Linked DNA regions of Yarrowia lipolytica. The protein of the gene in region 2 interacts with the protein of the main gene of each other region in a biochemical or structural test. Links are inferred from orthologs where the notes say so. Each region holds a gene or a part of one and is shown on either strand. Other genes may lie near its edges.

What was found. The genes of interacting proteins can lie anywhere in the genome.
Region 1: of the proteins of YALI1_F13339g (region 2) and YALI1_D03888g, one has a biochemical effect on the other in vitro, tested with the Saccharomyces cerevisiae proteins (2 studies listed by BioGRID). The link is inferred for Yarrowia lipolytica from reciprocal best matches to the Saccharomyces cerevisiae genes PKC1 and SPO7.

The regions. Positions count from the first base shown.
Region 1 is NC_090773.1:386,992-389,988, reverse strand, and holds YALI1_D03888g (uncharacterized protein), read right to left. Parts: upstream 1,182-2,997; coding exon 504-1,181; downstream 1-503. Other genes in the region: YALI1_D03865g (uncharacterized protein), read left to right, coding at 1,676-1,679, 2,818-2,997. UniProt on the Saccharomyces cerevisiae protein: Regulatory component of the NEM1-SPO7 complex which acts as a phosphatase and dephosphorylates the phosphatidic acid phosphohydrolase PAH1. Essential for the formation of a spherical nucleus and meiotic division.
Region 2 is NC_090775.1:1,329,955-1,335,990, forward strand, and holds YALI1_F13339g (uncharacterized protein), read right to left. Parts: upstream 4,319-6,036; coding exon 4,102-4,318; intron 4,043-4,101; coding exon 501-4,042; downstream 1-500. Other genes in the region: YALI1_F13355g (uncharacterized protein), read right to left, coding at 5,172-5,639, 5,777-5,953. UniProt on the Saccharomyces cerevisiae protein: Required for cell growth and for the G2->M transition of the cell division cycle. Mediates a protein kinase cascade; it activates BCK1 which itself activates MKK1/MKK2.

The sequences.
Region 1 (2,997 bases), on a different chromosome or scaffold from region 2:
AATGCCCCCAGGTCAGACGATTCCTGTGTCTGAGAGACAAGACACTAACATATTTTGTACTTGCAAGATGAGTTTTCCTTCATTTTCCTCGCTGGTTAAATTTCCGTTGATTTTTTTTTGATCCGGTCAAAATTGATCGAGTTACTGTGGCTATATGGTATGGTACATATCCCATAAACACCACCATACACCTATTATCCACCACATGCATTAAAATAAATATACTTCCTTTTAGTAGTTCTCTGGGACAGTCCTATTCAGAGTCCAGTAGAGATCTTTCGGGGTTTGTTCTGAGAGAGCAGTTCTAATCACGAACTGCAAACAACCGTGTACTGGATGTCAGAAGTGTCGCCAGAGACAGATGAGAACATTATGTTTGGGTTGTCATTCGTTGGGCAGTCATTCGTTGGGCAGTAATTCGTTCGGGCTGTACTTCATACCATGCCGGAATGATTCCAGAGCCTTATCGCGCTGTACTGCCTACAGGTTCCTTCCTCTCTCTTTCAACTGCGGACAGGCTCCTTCCTTTCCTTCCTTTCCTTCTTTTCCTTGATCTTCTTCTTTCTCTCTCTCTCAAAGTACCCCAATCTGTATTCTTCCCATTGCTCGATGTTCTCGGTGCTAAACACCCTTGTATTCAGCACCAAATGAACGGTGGACGAAAAGTAGCCTCCCGTTTTCACCAACTTGACATTGAACCCGCGGAGACCTCGATTTGAGTTGTATATGAACTTCCTTGGGTAAACCAGTTTCTTGGTGTACATTCCAGAGAGATGAAACAGTCCCAGAGTTGACAGAACCGCAATCAGACAGAAGCGATGGAAAAAGAAGACGTAGGAATAAATGGAAGGGTAGATCTGAGAGTAGACCAAATACGCCGTCAAACTCAGCAAAACAAAGTAAAATGTCGAGTACTTACGCTGCGATTGCCGCTGGTTGAGATACTGCTGTCTCAGAGACTCCTCCAGGATTAGCAGATTCGAATAAATCTCCGAAGGAGACGATAACGGGGGAGGAGAAGGAGGTAACGGAATGTTCTCTGCATCTGCGGTTTTGGGCGGTTTCAACACGGGTTTTTCGCGTCGGCGTGGCTCCGTGACGCCCGCAAGCTTGAGGTTGGGCAGCAGTTCCACTTCTGTGTCTCCATCCGATTCTGGAAGGAAGTCGGGGCTGCTTTCCATGGTAATGAGAGTGACGTCGGGACTTGGGCGCAGAGAGTTTGGCGGGGAAGAATTTGGCGGCGGCAAGAGTCTATTTCCCTCTTCAGGTCACGTGATTAACAGGATTAGCGCTGACGTTATGAACCCGCTGGCGTTGTTTGCTGCTCCACTAACGTGTATCGCAGGGTGGTGGTGAGCTAGGAACGAAAATTCACAGTCTACGGTGGAGTGCCCAAATTAAGGTTTCACAACGCTGATTAGTAATCGAAGAGAAAAGGGGTCTGGGGGGAAATTAAATCCTGAGGGCGAGGGATTTGGGGGATAATAGTAGTATAATTGGAGTCAGGGAGGTGTGGGGAATCGAATGGTATGTTTGAAACATAAACATGGTCATTTTTGGGCGAGTTTGATGGGGTATTAAGTCGCGGTGTTGTAGAGTGGCTAAGGGGGAGAGATACGTAGATGTGAAATTGTATATGGGGATGAGACAAGTGGCAAAAGTGTGATTTCTGTCAATGAGTGTCCAAATTATGTCTCACTTGAGTTATAAATGTCTTCAAATGCTCAGCAATCGATCGACCATCTATAATGCGAGGGACAAAATACGCATGATTCCACAGATTTGAGACTGTTGTTGAGCTAATATGGAATTTTGGATTTGATAATCGACTTCTAAATGGATCAATAAATCTCTTATATCACTTCCTAATCTCTCTAAGTCCATTTTTCACCCCACTATTACTACCTCTATGATCATGCATACAGTTACTCGGGTCGTAGAGATGAAGTATCTAACTTGGAATCTGGCCGGTGGAATTGGGTGAATTTTTGGCTGAACAAATAAACTGTGCCAAAGACTCATCAGACCAAAATATATCTCAATATGAAGATTACTTCATCCACTATGTTCCTCCTAGTGGCCATCTTCCCTGCATCAGAATAGATTCACTCTAGAAGCGTCTATTTAGGTCGTATTGGATTTCTGAAACTTTCAGGAGATAAAAAACACCGTATTTATTCTGCTCAATCTCTTGTTGGACTTTTTTCACTTCCAAAAACCCCCAATATCTCGTCATGTTCATTTTCCACAGCCAAAATTAACTTTTCACACCCCACCAACCAATCACGTTCTGGATAAGTCCGGATCTCGCTAAGCGGCGGTCCAAATGAAAAATTACAGACAAAAAATGTATTCACCAGCCGGCTAATACCCAATAGCAACTCTTCTCATCTCTTCTGCTCCTCTCAAACACCGAAAAATGCGCTCCTGTTCTTCTACATTATCTACACTATCCTGCACCCCGTGTAAATTGTGCAGAAAGAAGTGATCCGTTTCTGAGCCTGATAGAAAGCTCCGAATGAGCCGAAAAAAGGGGATATATCCAATCACGTGACCAACACAGGTTCCTTCACAAGAACCGCCCCGCGCCATACAAATTCGGTCCGTATAATGCCTCCCTGTCCTCCATTGTACTACATTATCGGCCAAAGTTTAATTTCCATCACAATGAACCTTATTTTTTACTTACCAAAAAAAGAGGTCACGGCAAAAAAAATTATCGTCACTCCATTACACCCCCACACAACATGACCAAAGACATCATTGTGCTGATTTCCGGGTCGGGAACCAATCTCCAGGCACTCATTGACGACGCAGAAATCGGCCCCCGCATCTCGCTCGTCATTTCGTCGTCTCCGACCGCTTATGGACTGGAGCGAGCACAAACGGCCGGAATCCCCACCCACGTCCATTCTCTGGCGTCCTACTATGGCGATTTGCCCAAGGATGCCAAGACGGAGCGTATGGCGGCCCGACAGAAGTTCAACGCCGATCTGG
Region 2 (6,036 bases):
AACTGAAGTACACGATTTCAGCGACAATACCAGGCATTTTTGGGGGAGACCGAGTTGGTTGGTCTGCTCCACACCTCCCAATATAAGGCAACATTTGAGTTGCACCACACATTCGTGCACCTGCATATAGATGCATTATGGATGCAGTCTTACTTAAACCTCGGAACAATGTGGGAATATACTGGAGGAACCACAACAAGGGTGCCAGTAGTTATATATCGCCCAGAAAACAGTTTCTTTATACATATATTCACAAATTTAATGTTTCAATTAAAGTTTATAGCATGTACAAGTCCTTTTATTGCACAGGAGAAACCCCCATAAACACCTATCATTAGCCAATTTATCTTCCATACCAGGATCACAAATGTCGTAAGCGATACCAAGGAAAAAAACAATTTCTCCTGAGAGCAACCAACCCAATACAAGTACGAATACTTTCATCATACAAACGTATTACACGTCATCTAATAAAACATCATAAATCATGTTAACCTATTTCAAATAGCTTCATCACACATCCAAGTGAAGTTTCTGAATTGATCCTGCATGGCGGAGGTCAGGGTGGTGGTGACGGGAGTCAGAGCCGGGGTCTCGGAAGTGAACTCCTGGTCAAAGTTAGTCACGTCTGTGGGCGACGTGATCTTGGGCACAAACGGCGGGGGGATTCGCTTGTGATAAATATCATCAAAGTTGACGTTGGCAAAGTACGGGTGCGCCATAATCTCCTCAGCGTCTCGAGGACCCGATCCCAGACGTCGTTCGGGCTCTCGCGTCAGCAGCTGCGTCAGAATAGACACACAATTACCGGGCAGAGTGATGGGGTATCGGGGCTCATCGGCCAGAATGGCGTCGAAGATTTCGTCCTCGTCTTCTCCTCGGAAGGGACTCTGTCCGAGTACCATCTGGTAGATGAGCACGCCAAAGGCCCACCAGTCGACAGCGAGGCCATATCGCTGCTCCAGCAGAATCTCCGGAGCCATAAACTCAGGAGTACCGCAGAAGGTACCTGTGGTTCGGCCATAGTCCATGTCTTCCTTACAGAGACCGTAATCGGCAATCTTGACATGTCCGTCTCGGGTGAGCAGAATGTTGTCAAGCTTGAGATCTCGGTAAATGACTCCATTGTCGTGGAAGTGCTTGATTCCAAGCAGCACTTCTGCGGCGTAGAACTGGGCCCGGCCGGGCTTGAACACACCCTCCTTCTGAATGTGCCACATGAGATCTCCTCCCGACACGTAGTCCATGACAAAGTAGACTCGGTTTTCCGTCTGGAAACATGAGTACAGATTGAGCAGGAACGGGTGCGACTCTCGGTTGGCGATCTGGAACACCCGTCGCTCGGATCTTGTGCTCTCCACCTCGTCGTTCTCAATGATAAAGTCCTTCTTGAGCACCTTGATGGCGTACAGGTTGGTCGTCTTCTTGGACTCCGCCAACATGACCTTTCCAAAGTTACCCTTTCCGAGCACCGCCAGGAAGTTGAAATCGTCCAGCCCGATTCGCGGCCGCTTCTTCTTGCCCACAACGGAATGTCGGTTGCTAGCAGGAGCGGGAGAAGCCGGGGAAGCGCCGGCTGCCTGGGTCTGGGACGCAGTGGCAGCAACAGCGGCAGCAGCCGCAGCCTGGGCTTGCTGTGCCTGCTGGGCGGCCTGTCGTTGCTGCACCTGCTGTTGCTGCGCCTGTTGCTGCTGGTACTGTTGCTGCTGATACTGTTGCTGTTGGTACTGCTGTTCACGCATCTGCTGTTCACGCTGTTGCTGTGCTCGGAGCGCCTGCTGCTCCTTGTGCTGCTGCTCTCGAGCTCGCGCATCTTCCTCGTCCCGCTGCTGCTGCTCAGCATGCACGCCAGGCACAGGCAGCGACTGGTAGCCTGAGTCAAGGGAGCCTGATGCACTGTGCTTCTTGTGCTGCTCGTCAATGATCATGCTCTTGGGAGGCGAGTAGCTGACGGAGGCGTCTGAGGCTTCAGGCTCGTTGTTGATGATACTCTTGTCAAACGCGTCCTCATCCTCCATCTTCACATCGTCCTCAACAGGAGACAGCACCTGCGACGGGCTGGGTGTGGATTCTCTGTTGGGGTAGATATCGCCCACAGAAGAGTTTCGAGGCGGATACAGGGGCTGCTCCTCTCTGTCGCGCGAGGGAGACGACTGAAACTGCTGCTGCTGAGGTGACCGAGAAGGCGACTTGGGCGAAGCAGAAGTCGGTAGCACATAACCCTGCGACTCTCGACGGGCCCTTGGGTCCAGAGTCGATGCTGTGGGGTCGTACCGTTGCTGGTGGTACGCCTGTCCTCGATCGGGGACAGCAGAAGGAGGGCCAGGGGCAGGCACTCCAGGAGGAGGAATGCCAACGAGAGAGGCTGCACTCGACGACACAGAGCCTTCCTTGGGAGGCAGAGAGGGAGCAGAACCCACCTCCTTGCGCCGCACCGTGTTCTTTCGCTCGCCCCGCATGGTCGCAGTACTATTAATGCTACTGTTAGTATCGACGGGGGTCAATGACAGACGATCGGAGCTGTTGCCGGCGCCATAGCCATTCCCATCTCTGTCTCCTGCATTGACATGCATGTGCGACGGAGTGGCACTGTACAGCGTCGACTGCTGGGACGACGAGGTCGACGTAGTGGGGTGCTGGGACGCCCGTCGGATCTTTGTCGACTTGATCTCACTGAGAATCTGATTTGCCCGCTCCATGGACATACCGCAAAAGTCGGGCACAAGGTGCTCACACTGCACGTGTGCAGTGACTCCACACTCGCCACATTTGCGCACAGACTTACGGCCCAGGGGCAAAATGTAACCGCAATGGCAGCACCAGTTGGCAGACTTATTGGTGAAGACCTGGAAACGGTGAGGAATTCGGTGGTTAAGCTTCTCCTCGTCGGGATCCGTTTCGGTGGACGACTTGGAGATGCACTTGGTGACCACCTTGGAGTAGCACTTGCCGTGGCACGTGAGCCGACAATCCTGACACTGAAAACCCGCTCCACTCAAAAAGTCACCACAGAGGGCGCACCGCATGATCGAGTAGAACTGCTGCGCCACAAACTTGTGGCCGTGGATCTCGTGCACGTCCTCCTTCTTTCGAATGGCGTTCTGACGGCCCAGACCCAGTCCTCCCAGCTCGTGGGGCCGCTTGACGCCCCGATTGGTTTTCTCGAAGCCCAGAGTTAGGTAGATCTGGCCTGCGGGCTCCACTACAAACCACTCCTCGATGGTGGGGCCTGCGTAGTTGACCACAGAAGATACTGGCCGGTCAATCTGGGGCGCCTCAAGGGTAGGCAGACCCGAACCGGTGGCACCAGAGGCAGCGGCACCTCCCCGCGAAGCAGGGTCGGCATGACCGCCAGCAGCTGTTTCGGAGGCCGCGACCCAACCTGTTGCAGCGAGCTTCTGGCCGTTCTTTCGCCGTCGAATCTCCTCTGCCACGTCGCTGATTGTGAGCCACAGGAGACCCACGGGCTTGAAGTGGTCGCCGTCTCGGTCGTAGATGATGATCTCGACCTCGTTGGCCTTGTCCACGGGGAACTGGAAGGTATCGTTCCACCGCTCGGTTCGGGACAGCTTGGTTCGGCCCACCAGCTTGTCCTCGCACTTAACAGTGACCATGGTTTCGGGCCGCTTGCCACGCACCGACGCAATGTGTTCCACGTTTCGGAGGGCGTGGACGGTGATGGTGACGATTCCCGACAGAGGACGTCTAATGTTGGGGGCGTTGATGCTGTCGCTGTCAATGGCGTCGTCAATATCAATGTGCATGTCCTGGTAGCGCTTGAGCGACTTCTTTAGCAGGCCCATCTTCTGCAACGACTCCTTGCGCATGTTTTCAATCTCCTGGATCTTCTTGGGGTCCCGCTGGTAGAGCCGTAGCGCGTTCTCAAAGCCCTCCTTGTAGTTTTTCTCCACGCTCATCTTGAACTCCAGTTGCTGCAGCATATGCTGGATCCGGGGGCCGAAGAAGGGCGTGTCGTACTTGATGAGATCGAGCTTGGTGAAGTTTGCTCGTTTTTGTGTGGGGTGTGGGCCGGGGGCCATGGCTGGGTTAGTGGGGGTGCTACGGAGAGCGTGTCTTTGCCAGTTTGCGTCGGATACTCACCTTCGGGGCGGGTTCTCAGCTTGAGCTCCCGCATCTTGCTCTCCAGGTAGTTGACATTCTTCTGGTTGTCCGTGAGCTTGGACTGGCACTGCAGTTTGAACGCCGAGTCTTGGGACGCCTGGGCGGCGGCCTTGGTGCCGCGGATGATGTTTTTCTCCACCTCAATCTGCTTGTACAGCTTCTGGATGGCCGACTCGATGTCGTCGGGGGCAGACATGGCGGTCTCTCGGGCGTGTGAGGTCGACTTTTTGTATGGGGTGCGGTGGAGGTGTGTGTGAGCTGTGCTTATTTGTAGACTTGTAGCTCGCAAATTCCCCTGGCTGGTTTAGGGGTGGTGGTGGGAGTAGGGGAGTGTGTCTGGCGGGGTTTTGCGGTGCTGGCGGGGGGCGAATGGACGAAGCTGGAGCAAAGGGCGTGAGGACAGCAAAATACCGGTTCTAGCGACCGCTCAAGGACAACAGTGGTTCTCGTCTTGGTTGGAAACAAAAACACGGCCGGCTCTTTTGAGTTGGGTCCTTGCTGACACCAAAACACAAAATTCACGTGAGTTAGTTTTCAGCTGTCTACTGCTGCAAGTCCCGGTAGTCCCACCCACAAATACACACACCACCGCACACTCTCGCACAAGACGCACGTTAAAAACAAAACCTTGTGCGCTGTCAGGATGGCCCAAAAACTTATAAATAGTAACACGCAAGCTGGAGGGCTGTGCACCACAACCAACAGGGCAAAGCGCAAGCACGTCTGCTGGAGGGAGGTGGAGGGGAGGAGAAGGCGCGGCGGGTCATGTGGAGGAGAGCGCGGACGCCTTATCCATCCCGTCAACCCGCCGCCGAGCCGCCAAACCGCCGAGCCGCCAAACCGCCAAACCGCCAAAGTCGCCCGTCACGTGTCTTGTTGTGTGTCGTTTCACACCTCCTTTCTCCCCAAACCGTCTTTCATGTTGCGTATTTATCAGATACCTAAAATGGAGAGTGCTACGATATATCCCATATTGTGTACCTACACGGTAGGTACTACAGGTAGTGCCAACGTGTAGACGAAGGTGGCTGCTGCTGAGCTGAGCTCCGTCACGTGATTGCCTGTCGGCGCGGACATATATCCCGTACTCGCTTCGTCTCTTGGTCTCTCCGCCTCTCAGTCTCTCGACTCGTGCACTCGTGCTGATCATGCACACTGCTCACTTTGCTATTATTAATGTGTGGTGCCTGTGCTTGTACGTGCTGAGTGCAACAAGCTCCCCGCCAAAAAAACACCGGCATCATCCCAACCCGCGCCAAACCGCAACAAGGAACACAACCACAAGTGGCCGGATCAGTTGAGGGCAGTACAGCACGGGTCCATGTATCGTGACAACGCGCTGACCGAAGGGAAAGTTGGTTTGTGTCCAGCGGCTGCTCCACATCACGTGCAGCCCATGACGTAAGAGGCGCATGTCTCTTTAGCCGCTCGTACAGGCCCCTGCTCGGTTCTCCCAAACGCACAGGTGACCATGTGGGCACAATTTTCCGAGCGCTGATGACGTCGTTGTGCGTGAGCTGCGAGAGGGCAGCAGGAGATATCAACAGCAGAAGATATCAACAGCAGGAGATATCAATAGCAGGAGATATCAATAGCAGGAGAGGGAATGAGCGGCAGAAGGGGATGAAGGGAAAGTGCAGTACGAGTACAATACAATACTATTGTTGATGTTGATGTGCTCTTGGGTGCTAGACGTATTCACGTCGCTATGGTCTGACAATTGATGGTAAAGTACCGACCCTTGATGGTACAGTATTGTACGAGTACTAGTACAGTACAGAACTGACAATTGATGGTGCCGTATCCACTGTACAGTACCGTACCTTGTCATACTTGCTTATGCTACACCTACGGTACAGCTTCTGATGTAGAACACAACTGTGTGAATATCCATACTGTAGAGAAGGGATCGAC